Linked DNA regions of Tribolium castaneum. The main gene of each other region encodes a partner of the protein of the gene in region 3 in a complex. Links are inferred from orthologs where the notes say so. Each region holds a gene or a part of one and is shown on either strand. Other genes may lie near its edges.

The links.
Region 1: basement membrane-specific heparan sulfate proteoglycan core protein (region 3) and unc-112-related protein share a complex: the UniProt entries of both Caenorhabditis elegans proteins name them as parts of the integrin containing attachment complex. The link is inferred for Tribolium castaneum from reciprocal best matches to the Caenorhabditis elegans genes unc-52 and unc-112.
Region 2: basement membrane-specific heparan sulfate proteoglycan core protein (region 3) and Ilk share a complex: the UniProt entries of both Caenorhabditis elegans proteins name them as parts of the integrin containing attachment complex. The link is inferred for Tribolium castaneum from reciprocal best matches to the Caenorhabditis elegans genes unc-52 and pat-4.

Annotation. Positions count from the first base shown.
Region 1 is NC_087396.1:10,393,661-10,397,316, reverse strand, and holds part of unc-112-related protein, read right to left. Parts: intron 1,975-3,656; coding exon 1,775-1,974; intron 1,725-1,774; coding exon 1,514-1,724; intron 1,217-1,513; coding exon 1,026-1,216; intron 1-1,025. UniProt on the Caenorhabditis elegans protein: Component of an integrin containing attachment complex, which is required for muscle development and maintenance. Probable regulator of cell-extracellular matrix adhesion. Required during initial muscle assembly to form dense bodies and M-lines.
Region 2 is NC_087394.1:5,466,134-5,470,328, reverse strand, and holds the start of Ilk (integrin-linked protein kinase), read right to left. Parts: upstream 2,897-4,195; 5' UTR 2,644-2,896; coding exon 2,555-2,643; coding exon of another isoform or gene 2,551-2,554; exon of another isoform or gene 2,537-2,550; intron 2,431-2,536; coding exon 2,265-2,430; intron 1-2,264. Other genes in the region: trc (serine/threonine-protein kinase tricornered), read right to left, coding at 4,194-4,195. UniProt on the Caenorhabditis elegans protein: Probable pseudokinase that acts as an adapter protein. Component of an integrin containing attachment complex, which is required for muscle development and maintenance.
Region 3 is NC_087398.1:9,110,913-9,114,568, forward strand, and holds part of basement membrane-specific heparan sulfate proteoglycan core protein, read right to left. Parts: intron 3,499-3,656; coding exon 3,347-3,498; intron 3,295-3,346; coding exon 2,885-3,294; intron 2,837-2,884; coding exon 2,159-2,836; intron 2,104-2,158; coding exon 1,916-2,103; intron 1,452-1,915; coding exon 1,434-1,451; intron 1,350-1,433; coding exon 1,176-1,349; intron 1,123-1,175; coding exon 934-1,122; intron 1-933. UniProt on the Caenorhabditis elegans protein: Component of an integrin containing attachment complex, which is required for muscle development and maintenance. Probable structural role in myofilament assembly and/or attachment of the myofilament lattice to the cell membrane.

The DNA.
Region 1 (3,656 bases), on a different chromosome or scaffold from region 3:
ATTATTTGGCCTGAAACGCCAGTTGTTTCGGGGAAATTCGTCAAAAATAAATCAAAAATTCACCAATTTGGTTCTAAAACGGTGTCATTTTAGCATTTGTTGAGATAAACTTAGTTTTAGAATGGGAAAAATCTCAATTTCGGTGAACATTGGTTTTATATTAGACTTTTTCAAGCATTTAAACATGTTTTTAGGACCAAAGTTTTGTTTTCTTCGCGAAATTTTATTACCAGAAATGCAATAGTTTATGGAATTTTGACAAAATAAATACGCCGAAAAATTACCAATGTGTTTAGCGTAATAACTTAAGGTTTTTTTCGCAAGTTTTTCATAAACCATATTGAAAAATCCATAAACAAAATAAAAATTATTAATTATTACTCCATGTTTGAACACTTTAGACATATTATTTGGCTAAGAAACGCAATGCATTTTGTCTAAAATATTCCAAACTAAATAAGCATTAATCACCAATGTAGGCCATTGTAAAAAATTATTGTTTTGTGAGATTCTGTTAAAACGGAATGATAAATTTCTTAATTAGTTAACAGAAGACATTATTTTTCATTTTTTAAATATTTTAGTAAACTACTTGGCTAGAAACGTAATTATTTTGAGGCATATGGTCAAAAATAAGCCAAAAAATTATCAATTTTTTTCGAGAGCTTAAACACTTCTATCTTGCTAAAAACTTCGTTTTCGCGTAAGTAAGCCGAATGACGGAATATCTAAGTTAACTAAAAATGACTTTTTCCAACTCCTGAACCTGTTTCTGTTAAATCTAAATTAATTACGAAACGAAAGTATTTTTCCTTTTTCAAACGTTTTAGCACTTTACTTGCCCCAGAACATAATTACTTTCAAAAAATTCGTAAAAAAATAGGCTGAACAATATCTTCACATAAATTGGCATTTTCAAAATCATAAAAACTTGAAGTTTAGTCGATAAGAAAGGATTAAAGTTTAAATTAAATGTTTCTGAACATGGACTCATCTCTTCCAATTGAGCTGTTTTTTATACTCACTTTAAAAACCGTAATTCGTCGCATAATTCAGGCACTTGTGTGATGTCGTTGGCGTAGGAATTTATTGTTGATCCCTCGAGAGTTGTTTGAAGGTCGGTTAAGGCCGCGTCGATGTCGTCTTCAACAGGGGAAGACACATTGCCATTATCCAAATGAGGTTGGGGTTGTTTAGCTTGTAAATTAACTTGCAACTAAAAAAAATATTACCACATAACGCACTAAATTACAATAATAATGTCGTGAGATATAATCATTTACCTACACAAAATTTAGTAATTGATTAAAACACTCACGTAATATGTTTTTTATGGGGTGAAACAACGGACAAAATAAATTAAAAGACAGAATATGTTTATAAGGTTTTCAGATACCGGCAAAAGATTGCTTCGCCAAAGAAAACCACAAGGACGAAATTTTTATCTAAAGTATTGATTTCTATTGTTGTGCTTGTTAAATAAAAAATTCAACTGCTGTGCAATGTTTCTCACCTGTAAGGCGGCAAACATTAACATTTCTTCTTCCGTACAATCAATCTCTTCATTTAACAATTGCCACCTCGCTTGTTCATAAATCTGATTGATTCGAATCGCATCGTATTTGGGGTTTAGGTCATAAAACACGTAAAATTTAAACCTCAAACATAACGTATCGTATTCTCTGACTCCTTGTTCCATAATTGACAAAGACGAATCTAACCAACTAAAAAAGACAGTTTGGCTTCTATAGCAACGTAACGAGAATAAACTCACGCCACATTCATTCTCGCTTTTTCTACAAGCGATTTCGGCCTAATCATATGTTTCCGAGCCTCAGGACTCGGCGGAGGTGGAGTTTGGGCAAGAAAACTGTCGTAACTGCCATTCAATTGCTCCGAACTGATACTTGTCGTCAAATTGGGGGAATAACCGTTAGTCTCCGAATTGTACACCTGACGACCCCACGATCCTGTCTGAAACCAAAAAAAAAAGAAGTAAATAAACACAGAGATAAAATTATCTCAACAAAAATATACACATACACCATTTGAAAGCGAATCTGTTTTATTGCACCTTCGTAAACTGAAACGGTTTTTATTTTTTTCCTCCTAAAATATTTCAGAAATTGTTCCTTGGCAAAAATTACATTAAAAAATTATTTTAACAAAAATGACAACAGCGCACTTAAATTTTTTCGGATCAAATAGATCACAAATTAAAAGAGAAAACCAATTGTGAAAAATGATAGTTGTTCCTATAGTTAACAGATAATAGAAACTTTTTAACTTCTAATGTAGCTATTAGCTGTTTCAAAAGTATAAAAACGCCAATATCGCATTTTACCAAATAATTTTTTTAACTGAGATTTATGAAATTGTAAAATAGTTATTAATGATTAAGATCTCTCATTGAAAGTACAAATTAAATTAGCTGTTATTTTTTTTGAAGTGCATGAATAATTTATAACAACTAATTTTGAGAGAAAATGCGACGTTGGCGTTTTTAAAGTTTTGAAACAACTACTACAGCTGTGAAATTTTTTATACAACCCAAAGTGGCCGTAGTTTTTGATACGATATATCAATTTATTGTAAAAAAAATTTTTGCAGGAGTTTATACAAAACATTACAGCTTTTGAACGTTTCTGGAATTTTTAAAATTGTCAAATGTCAAATTTCAATGCTAGTATGATTTTTTTAAGATGAAAAATTTCAAATAGCCATAGAAAGAACATCGACATTTATGGAAGCTTTTATCAATACGTCGTTCACAGTTTTTGAAAAAATCACAAGAAACAAACTAGCTGTACTTCGTAATTTTCATCATTAATCAAGTACGCCTTGCGTAATGGTCAACAATTGTCAAACTTTAACATCTTGTTTAGTTTTTATCTGCTTCATTATCAAATAAGCCGGAAAATATTATTATTATTATTAATGAAAATGGTGGACAAATTGAACATTTCCATTAATTAGTAGCACAAATTTTTCGAAAATTTACTCGATTGAAATGAAAATAATGAACTGAAATCCATTTTTCGCGATTATTTCAAAAACTAGAAAAAATTGATGGTCTTTAGATCCCCAATGAAAAAAACAGTCATTCCATTTGAAAAAACTCTGTTTAAACCTTTTTTTGACATACGTCTAAAACTAGGACAAATTATGGTTTGGGAAATTGTTTTTGAATTTCATTCAAAATCAATTTCGGTTTAGGATGACATATGTCAAAAATGACTGTGAACTTTTTTTTAGATGGTACCCTGTATTTTTTGTGTACCATTTGATGTGTAATTATAATTAACTTCTAATTGCAATATGTATCACACCCCATATTTCAAAGTAACGTTACAATAACAATTATTCATTAAGAATTGCGTAATCTAAATAGTAGTTAATTTCAAAAAAAAACTTAACTACCTATGAAAACTATTTCATTGCTTAAATTTGTAAATAAAAGTTTTTAATAATTGTTTTTTTTATCATGTAGCTCTTTTTTACCTAAAATAATCTAAATATTTTTTTATTTTTTTCTACTAGTATTTATTATTAATTTATTATATTGTGACACGTGTTACAAATTAAAAGTAAATCTTCTATTAAATGATGCAAAAAATTATACAAGACCCCATTAAAAAAAAGAAATTGACACCGTT
Region 2 (4,195 bases), on a different chromosome or scaffold from region 3:
TAACAATGAAAATATTTATATTCATTTTTTTTTCTTTTAAAATCCTTTAAATTACCATTTATTTCACTCCTAATGTAAAAAAATTTGTTCATTGTTTAGTGAAAAAAATGCGCTCCAAAAGATAAAAACAAAAAACGTCACTCGCAGTACGAAAGAAATAGACCGAACTAGTAAAAAAAATTGTCAAATACAATTTAAGAAAATTTCAAGTATGTTTATAAACATATTTTTTTTAAAGTATGTCCATGACGAAAATAAATTTGATTCCAAGTTAAACAAAGTCATGGGAAAACAAAAAAAATAGTAGTTTTGAAATATAGCTTGACTTGACTAGTAATAGATATACAAATAGCTAAATGTTTATGATTTGGAGTGGAATTCCTGATTAAAGTACACTATTTTCTGTATATTATGGTGCATAGAATGAAATAAACAATTTAAACAATAGATGCAAATTGTTTCTTTAAAACATTCTTTGTAAAAAAACTAATGTTGATTTCATCGTAAATTGCTGTTTTTTTAAGAGGATTACCACTACACATTGGCTTTTAAACAAAAAATGCTAGGTTTCAAGTATTACATAAAATTAATTTTCCAATTTTTTTTTAAGATATTATTGTGCCTGAGTCGGTAGTCGACTATTTTTTCCGACCTTGTTTATATCTTGTTAACAGTATTTTAGGAAAAGTGCTGAGTATTTCAATCTACACGAGAATTTTCAGATAATTAAAATTAAAATAAAAAAAAACAAATAAAAATAAATAGCTCCCAACATTTGTCCATTATCAGACTAGATTTATTAAATGGACAATTGGCGTTTTATTCAAAAAGTTGACAAAATCGATCAACATAATAAACATTTTTAAAATGACGAATTATGAGAAGTTCAGAAAAATGTAATTAAATTATTTTATTAAAAATAAAAAAATAGAACTGGAACAGCTGATTTCAACATTTAATTTATTATAATCGAAAAATTTTTTCATCACTTTTGTTGATTATGATCATAAGTAAGTACATATCTAGAATAACTCATTTAAAATTAAGAGAGACGAAGCTTCATAATTTTTAATCAAAAGTTTTCGGATAATAATAAAATGATTTATTTTAGAGCCAAAAACACTTTCGTAAAAAACATTTATTGTCACTTCCACGTAGTGTTTTTGTTTTTTATAATTTTCTAAAAATCCCAAAATTTCTACAATCCGAATTTAAATGATTTTTCTGCTACAAGTTTTTCAAGAAAACAAGTTAACATCTATAAAATCGATACCATTTATTATTAAATAATAATATTATTATTATTATTATTAAATAATTAATGAGTTGTAAAACGATGTACTTATCAGTAATTACATATTTTAATTTATTTATTATTTTTATTATTGTTTTATGAATTCAGTATCAAAGATTGTATTTATATGGAGAGGTAGTAAAAGGCATTTTTTATTGAGCGACAACTGTAAATTCTAATTTAGTATCATTGAGAAAAATTATTAGGACCTTCAATAACACATTAAACATTACTATAAAACAAACAACGCTACTTAAAACTAAAAATCAGTAATTGCAAAATAACTTTACACAACTTACTAATTTATCTTTTTATTTCTTTATTTTTTTGGTAGGTACAATTGATTAAAAAATAATCACACATAAATCAAAAAATTGATGACTTGTTTATTTAATAGGAATAGAAGGTTTCTGTTATTTTATTTTGCATGTTATTTGAAGGTTTAAGTACTTTCAGTAAAAAAAATACAAATTTTTTTAACCAGTTTATTGTTAACATAAGATAACTATTAAATAAATTGCGAGCTAATAATAGTTTAATTTAGAAGAAACAACAAAAAAATTAAAGTATTTTGTTTATTTTTTGCAAGCTCAACTTCAGCAAATGATTGTTCTTATTTTTTGCCAATAATTTTTTCACTTTTTCCTTGGTTTCCTTCTCATTCTGAGTTGTTAGATACATAAAAAAATACTGCTTTCTAATGAGAAACGTGTACTCGGATTACGTCTCAATTTGTTGTACTTTTATAGTGTATTCGCTTGAAAAAAAGTAGGTTAAAACCCACATTCTATAAAAGCACATAAAAAAAAATTCCTAAAAATGGTTGAGGAATAATTTTTAATTTTCCTAACCGTGACGATGATAATTTTTTCCAACTCTTTTTAGTAAAAAGTCAAACGATAAAGTGACAACCTTGTAAGTCTTCAGACTTATTATTACTCTTATATTAATAAATTAATAAAATACCAACCATAAGCACAATCTCCCTGTGCCCATGTGCAGCCGCCAGATGCAAGGGCGTATCGTCCCCCCGATTGGTGGCATTGACCCTCGCCCCCCTGAGCAAGAGCATCTCCACAATCTTCGTGTGCCCCCTTTTCGCCGCCCAGTGCAGCGGACTGAACCCATGGTCATCCCTAAGACAATCACCAATCAGTAAAAACCAAACAAACCCACACACACCCAATTATTACACAACACGGCCACACCACTGACCAAATTAGGCAATGCCATTAAACTAACCTCAAAGACACAACTCACCCCTGGTTCATGTCGTGCTCGGTGTCATCGAGCCAAACCCGCACCTGGAGGGCATTCCCGTCCCTGCACCACTGGAAAATATCCTCCATTTCGGCAATTTGCCCAAAAGTGGGGCACTTGTACCAGCAAATGGGCGTTCACTTGGGTGGTGTTTAAAACGCGAGAATTGGTTTTTATTTATAATGAGTGCGTTCAGTCGCTTATCCGGAAGCTATTTACCGCATTACTTTGATAAGATAAGGATTTTTTTGGTAATTAGGTGAGGAAAACTAAACACTTTTTTACACAACAGACGGCCATATTTGGACGTGTTGCCAACCGTGCCGCTTGAAATTCCCCAAACGGATAAAAAAGTTGATTTTTTAATTGTTTTAAAGGATTTTAAATCAAACGTAACGTCCTAAAAACTGTCCCCCGCTCCGTTAGGTAACAATTAGTTAGATTGGGCCCCCAAATTAATTAAAAATTTACCATAAAAGGAATGGGAAGTTACCAAAGGTTGGCAACACGCCGGCGGGAGTTCCAAACACGGGTTAAAGCACATAGTTTAATAAACTTTGTTATACACATTTTTGGAAGTAAATATATTATGTACAAGTCCTGTTAGCGAGACCAATGTAATAAATAACAAATCAGACAAATAATCTAGCTAATTTGCACCAGTTAAACGAATTTGAAAAAAAAGGTGCATAGAGAGCTACAAGCTTAACATTAATACTTTCTATAAAATTTCCAAGTCTACCAACTGCCTCACATACACACCAGACTGTTTAACAGCCAAAAAACTGCTCGATATGTTTGCAAAACTACACATACACTTCCACAAAATCTAATTGGTTAGTGAAAAACAATTGTTCATATGTGCTTCTTTGGAACAAAACAACTAATAAAATGATCAGAGTGGCCATGAACCTTGAAACACAGTTGGCGGTACTGCCTGTCAAACGTCGCAGGTCACTCTAAACGAAAATTACTAAACCCGCCTACTAGACTACGCTCGTTCGTCTTGAAATAAAAAATTGCAAAAATATGATCTCACTGACAGAATCATGAAGGTGTAAAAAGTGTAATTAGTTCATGTCCTTCACGAGTTATACAAAATAGTTCTTGACGCGCGATCAAGAAATACATTGTCTATAAATAAAAAAACAAGTAAATAATAAACGTATCACTTTGTAACAATAAACAAAAAATAACATATACACAAAAATCTTCTGTTGTATTTAAAATGATAGGGAAAAAATCATTAGGTACAAAAATATCCCTCGGACCGCCCGCCCTCGAAGCAACACATCATCACATAAATAATTGGCAGTAGTTTCGCAACAATTTTGTACTAACAATTCGTCATTTTCGTAATATTTACAATAACACAAGTTAACGAGATATCAGTGTAAATACAACAAAAGATACGTAGCTTCTCACAGCTCAAAGCAAACAGTGTGAAAACTGCTTCAGACCTATAATACACAAAGTTACTTATTTTTAGAAAATAACTACGGGATAGGTACAGTTATTGAAAAGACGAGAAAATCATAATCGAAGCACTCTGGTGTGATTTTTCACGATATTTCCTAAAAATAAGTGCTCGTTATAGCGCGATTAACTGCCGATTTGTTGGCGCACATAAAAGTGCGGTTT
Region 3 (3,656 bases):
TTGGTGTTTTTTTATCTAGCAGATCGTCCACCATTACAAGGGGGGCAGAATTCAAAGGAAAAACTGGAGATGTGAGATGCAACAAAAACAAAGACAGACTCATCATTTTATGAATTAACGTAAGCCACGTAATGATTGTTGTAAAATTTGTAAGCATTCTGATTGGGCCGTTTGAGGTCGGCCATTAAAATTACAGCGAAAACCAATCACGTTTTGAATTTTTGTTTCATTGAAAATTATATTTTTGGACATGATTGGTCCATTTAATGTCGGCCATTAAAATTAACTTAGAAACCAATCACTTTAGATTTTCTTTGATTCATTGAAAAATTATATTTTTGGATATGATTGGTCCATTTAAGGTCGGCCATTAAAATTAAGTAAGAAACCAATCACTTTGAATTTTTGGACTCATTCATCATTTAATATGAATGCTTACTTTAAATTGTAAGTGAATCTAATAAAAATAAACTCTATTCGAACAAATGTGGTTATTTTTACGAACTAAATAGGAACATGATTTGTCGACATTAGTGAATTGTTTTCTTCATCCAAATATTTCAGTAAATGTCCGGTACAAATAAATAAAAAATAAAGCTTTGTAGTACTATATCAAATTATTATTTTGTCACTGCTTAAGACATCTTTGCAGCCAAGTGCGCAATTCATTTCTTAGCGTTACCAGCACGTTGTAATATAGCTGGTTGTTTCAAAGTTTTTGTGCTAGATATTAAACATTGTTTCTGCTCCACTAAGACTTTCTCTATGAAAGCGGATAAAACACCGGTGAAAACACAGTACCTAGAATTGCACATATGTCTTCCTCGGCTGAATGTAACAAAGAAACAATAATTACACAAACTACCGATAGATAAGAGAAAATAAAGTCTTGTAAGAAGCCAAACAATTACGAAAGCATGATGACCGACTTACAGATAACTTCCAGATGGGCGATAACCGAGAAGACCACTTGCCCTGAGGAAGTTGTTCCCAAGCAGCGGTATTCACCGCCGGCGGAGGGCTGGACATTGTCGATGTAAAGAGTCCCACTTCTGATAAATGCATCGTTCGGTAACGAAGAATTATCCGTTCGAGCCCAGTTTACATAAATTGGTTCAGAATCTGGAAATCAAAATTATTAGCGCACAGTTTTTGCGCACATGCCACACTTTTACCATAATTGTTGTTGATTTGACATCGCAACTCTGCCCTAGTTCCCACAGGAGCCGTGAATTTTTCATCGTAAGAGTGGGATGGACGTTGTCTAGGTGGTAAATACGTCGGGCGCCGTTCGTTGGTTCTGTAACCCCCTTCAGGCGGAGTAACTTCGTTACCCGTTGCATCTTCGCCTAGTCAACATAAAATTAAAATTACGAGTTGATTAAAAAATAACTTAAATTTCCCGTCGTGTTAATTGATTATTATTTACTTACCTCCACGTGATCGGTTACCTACGGCCCCCCGTTAGTAGCAAGCAAGATGAAACAAAAACAAAAGCATGAAAATAATTATTCTACAATATTGCAATAAAACTAGTACAAATTTGAGCGCAAGTAATACCAACACCGCGATTACTCTACTCTGTTACTCTAAACCGTACGATAAAAAGTCGGAATGTTGATCGAAATATGCAAAGAAGACCCAAAACTCTGGAAATTATTTTGTTTATTTCCTATTCGATTTTTAAACGAGGTCCAGAAAAGTTTGGAGAAAACATGTAAAAAATTACTTTTCGGTAGTTAATGACTAAGAAACAAAGAAAAGAAATGATGTGCTACACAATATTTCTTGTGAATTCTACTTTTTATCGTATGGGACGTAAAGTGAATGGATTATTCTAAACTACTTTTTCTTGGTCCACTGTTATTCGTGAAGTTACAATACTTGTTTGATTTCTTAAATTGTGAAAACTCACCCACAATATCACCGCGACTAGGAACGCTATGAATCGCGAGTTGCACTCGCTTTTCTGCAACTCCTGCTTGGTTCCGTGCTTCGCATATGTACAAGTCTTGGTCCCTTGCGGAAAACCTCGCAATTTCAAGTATCGCTACATTTCTTGGCGCAGCCACCGCTGGAAGCCCGGAACGTCCGGAAGCTCCGCTGCAACATCACATCACAATTAGCCAAAGTAGCACAAACCAAACATGATCCTTACTATGGTTCTGATAACCTCCTCCACTGCAATGACGGTGGGGGACTTCCCCTAGCATGACACTCAAGTCTTACAAACTCATCTCGTCTCCTCATAATCACATCTTCGTCCGGCACCGTCCAAACCTCTGGAGCAACTTGAACTTCGATGTTTGCGGTCACTGACGCTCTCCCAGCTTCGTTCTCAGCAGTACAGATATACTCACCGCCTTCGTTTTCAGTTATTTGTGTGAATCGTAAAGTACCGTGAGACATTGTTTCGATGTTGGGGCTTAAAGGCCGACCGTCTGCCCTCGTCCAGACTACGGTGGGAGCGGGAATGCCCGCATCGACACGACACGCCAGAATTGCACTATTGCCGGCTGTGACCGTTTGCGAGGCTTGTGGGTGGACTGACAGGATCGGGATTTCGAGACGGTTCACTTCAACGATAGAGGAAGCTTGCGCGAGACCGAGGTTGTTAGAGGAAACACAAACGTAAACCCCTCTATCTGAAACTTGGGCGTTTCGAATGTAGAGAACCGAACCGGATTGCGTGATATGTGGCGGAAGCTCGGAACCAACTCTTGTCCATTTGATGGTTGGAGTTGGGGAGCCGGTGGCGTCGCAGCGGAGCTCCGTGGAGGAACCTTGCGAGATTGTGATACGTTCGGGGCTGACTTTGGCGCTTGGTGGAGACGTGCTGAACGACACAATTTATTTTTGAAAAAAATATTATTATTTATCGTACCCAGACGATTCGTAGATCGTAACGTCGGCGGTGCCGGTGGCGGTGTATCCGGTGGCCGAAGTGGCCGTGCAAACATAAACTCCCGAATCTTCAGCTCTTGGAGAAGTGGCTGTTAAAACGTCTCGATTCACTATAAAGCTGTAAGGTAAGGGGCGACCGTTTTGTCTCGTCCATTTGATATCAATTGCTCTATCGGCTTGGCATCTCAGCGAGAAAGTTTCTCCACTTGAGCCTTCGTAATACGGGGGTGATATTTCCACAGTTACTGGTCGACCACCGGTGTTTTCTCGCACGTATATGTCTACGTTCGATGTGTGAGTACCGGCTGCATTTGTAGCGATGCACTGATAAGGTCCTTCGTCAGATTTGTGTGCTTGAGGTATACGGAAGAGGCCGTTTTGGAAGTAGTGCTATTTTGTTAGGTTGTTAGATTGTGTCAGTGCGGTTTATTTATAAACTTACTGCTGGATTTAGTTGTTGACCGTCGAGTCTTATCAAGCGTAAGATTGGTTCAGGTGTACCAGTGGCTGCGCACTGGATTTGAACCGTCTGACCTTCTTGGACATCCACAAACGGTGGGGTTATTACCACTCTTGGTGGTTCCAGTTGGGATGCTTGAAAATGTAAAATGTAGTTAGAATTTTTGGAAAAAAGGAATTTAAAATACACTTCTACATAAAAATTAAAGAAAAACATACTATTATTAAATTTTGAAAAGATTCTTTAATAACATCCCATCTAAACTTATATCATGAAAATAGTAGATTTCGTG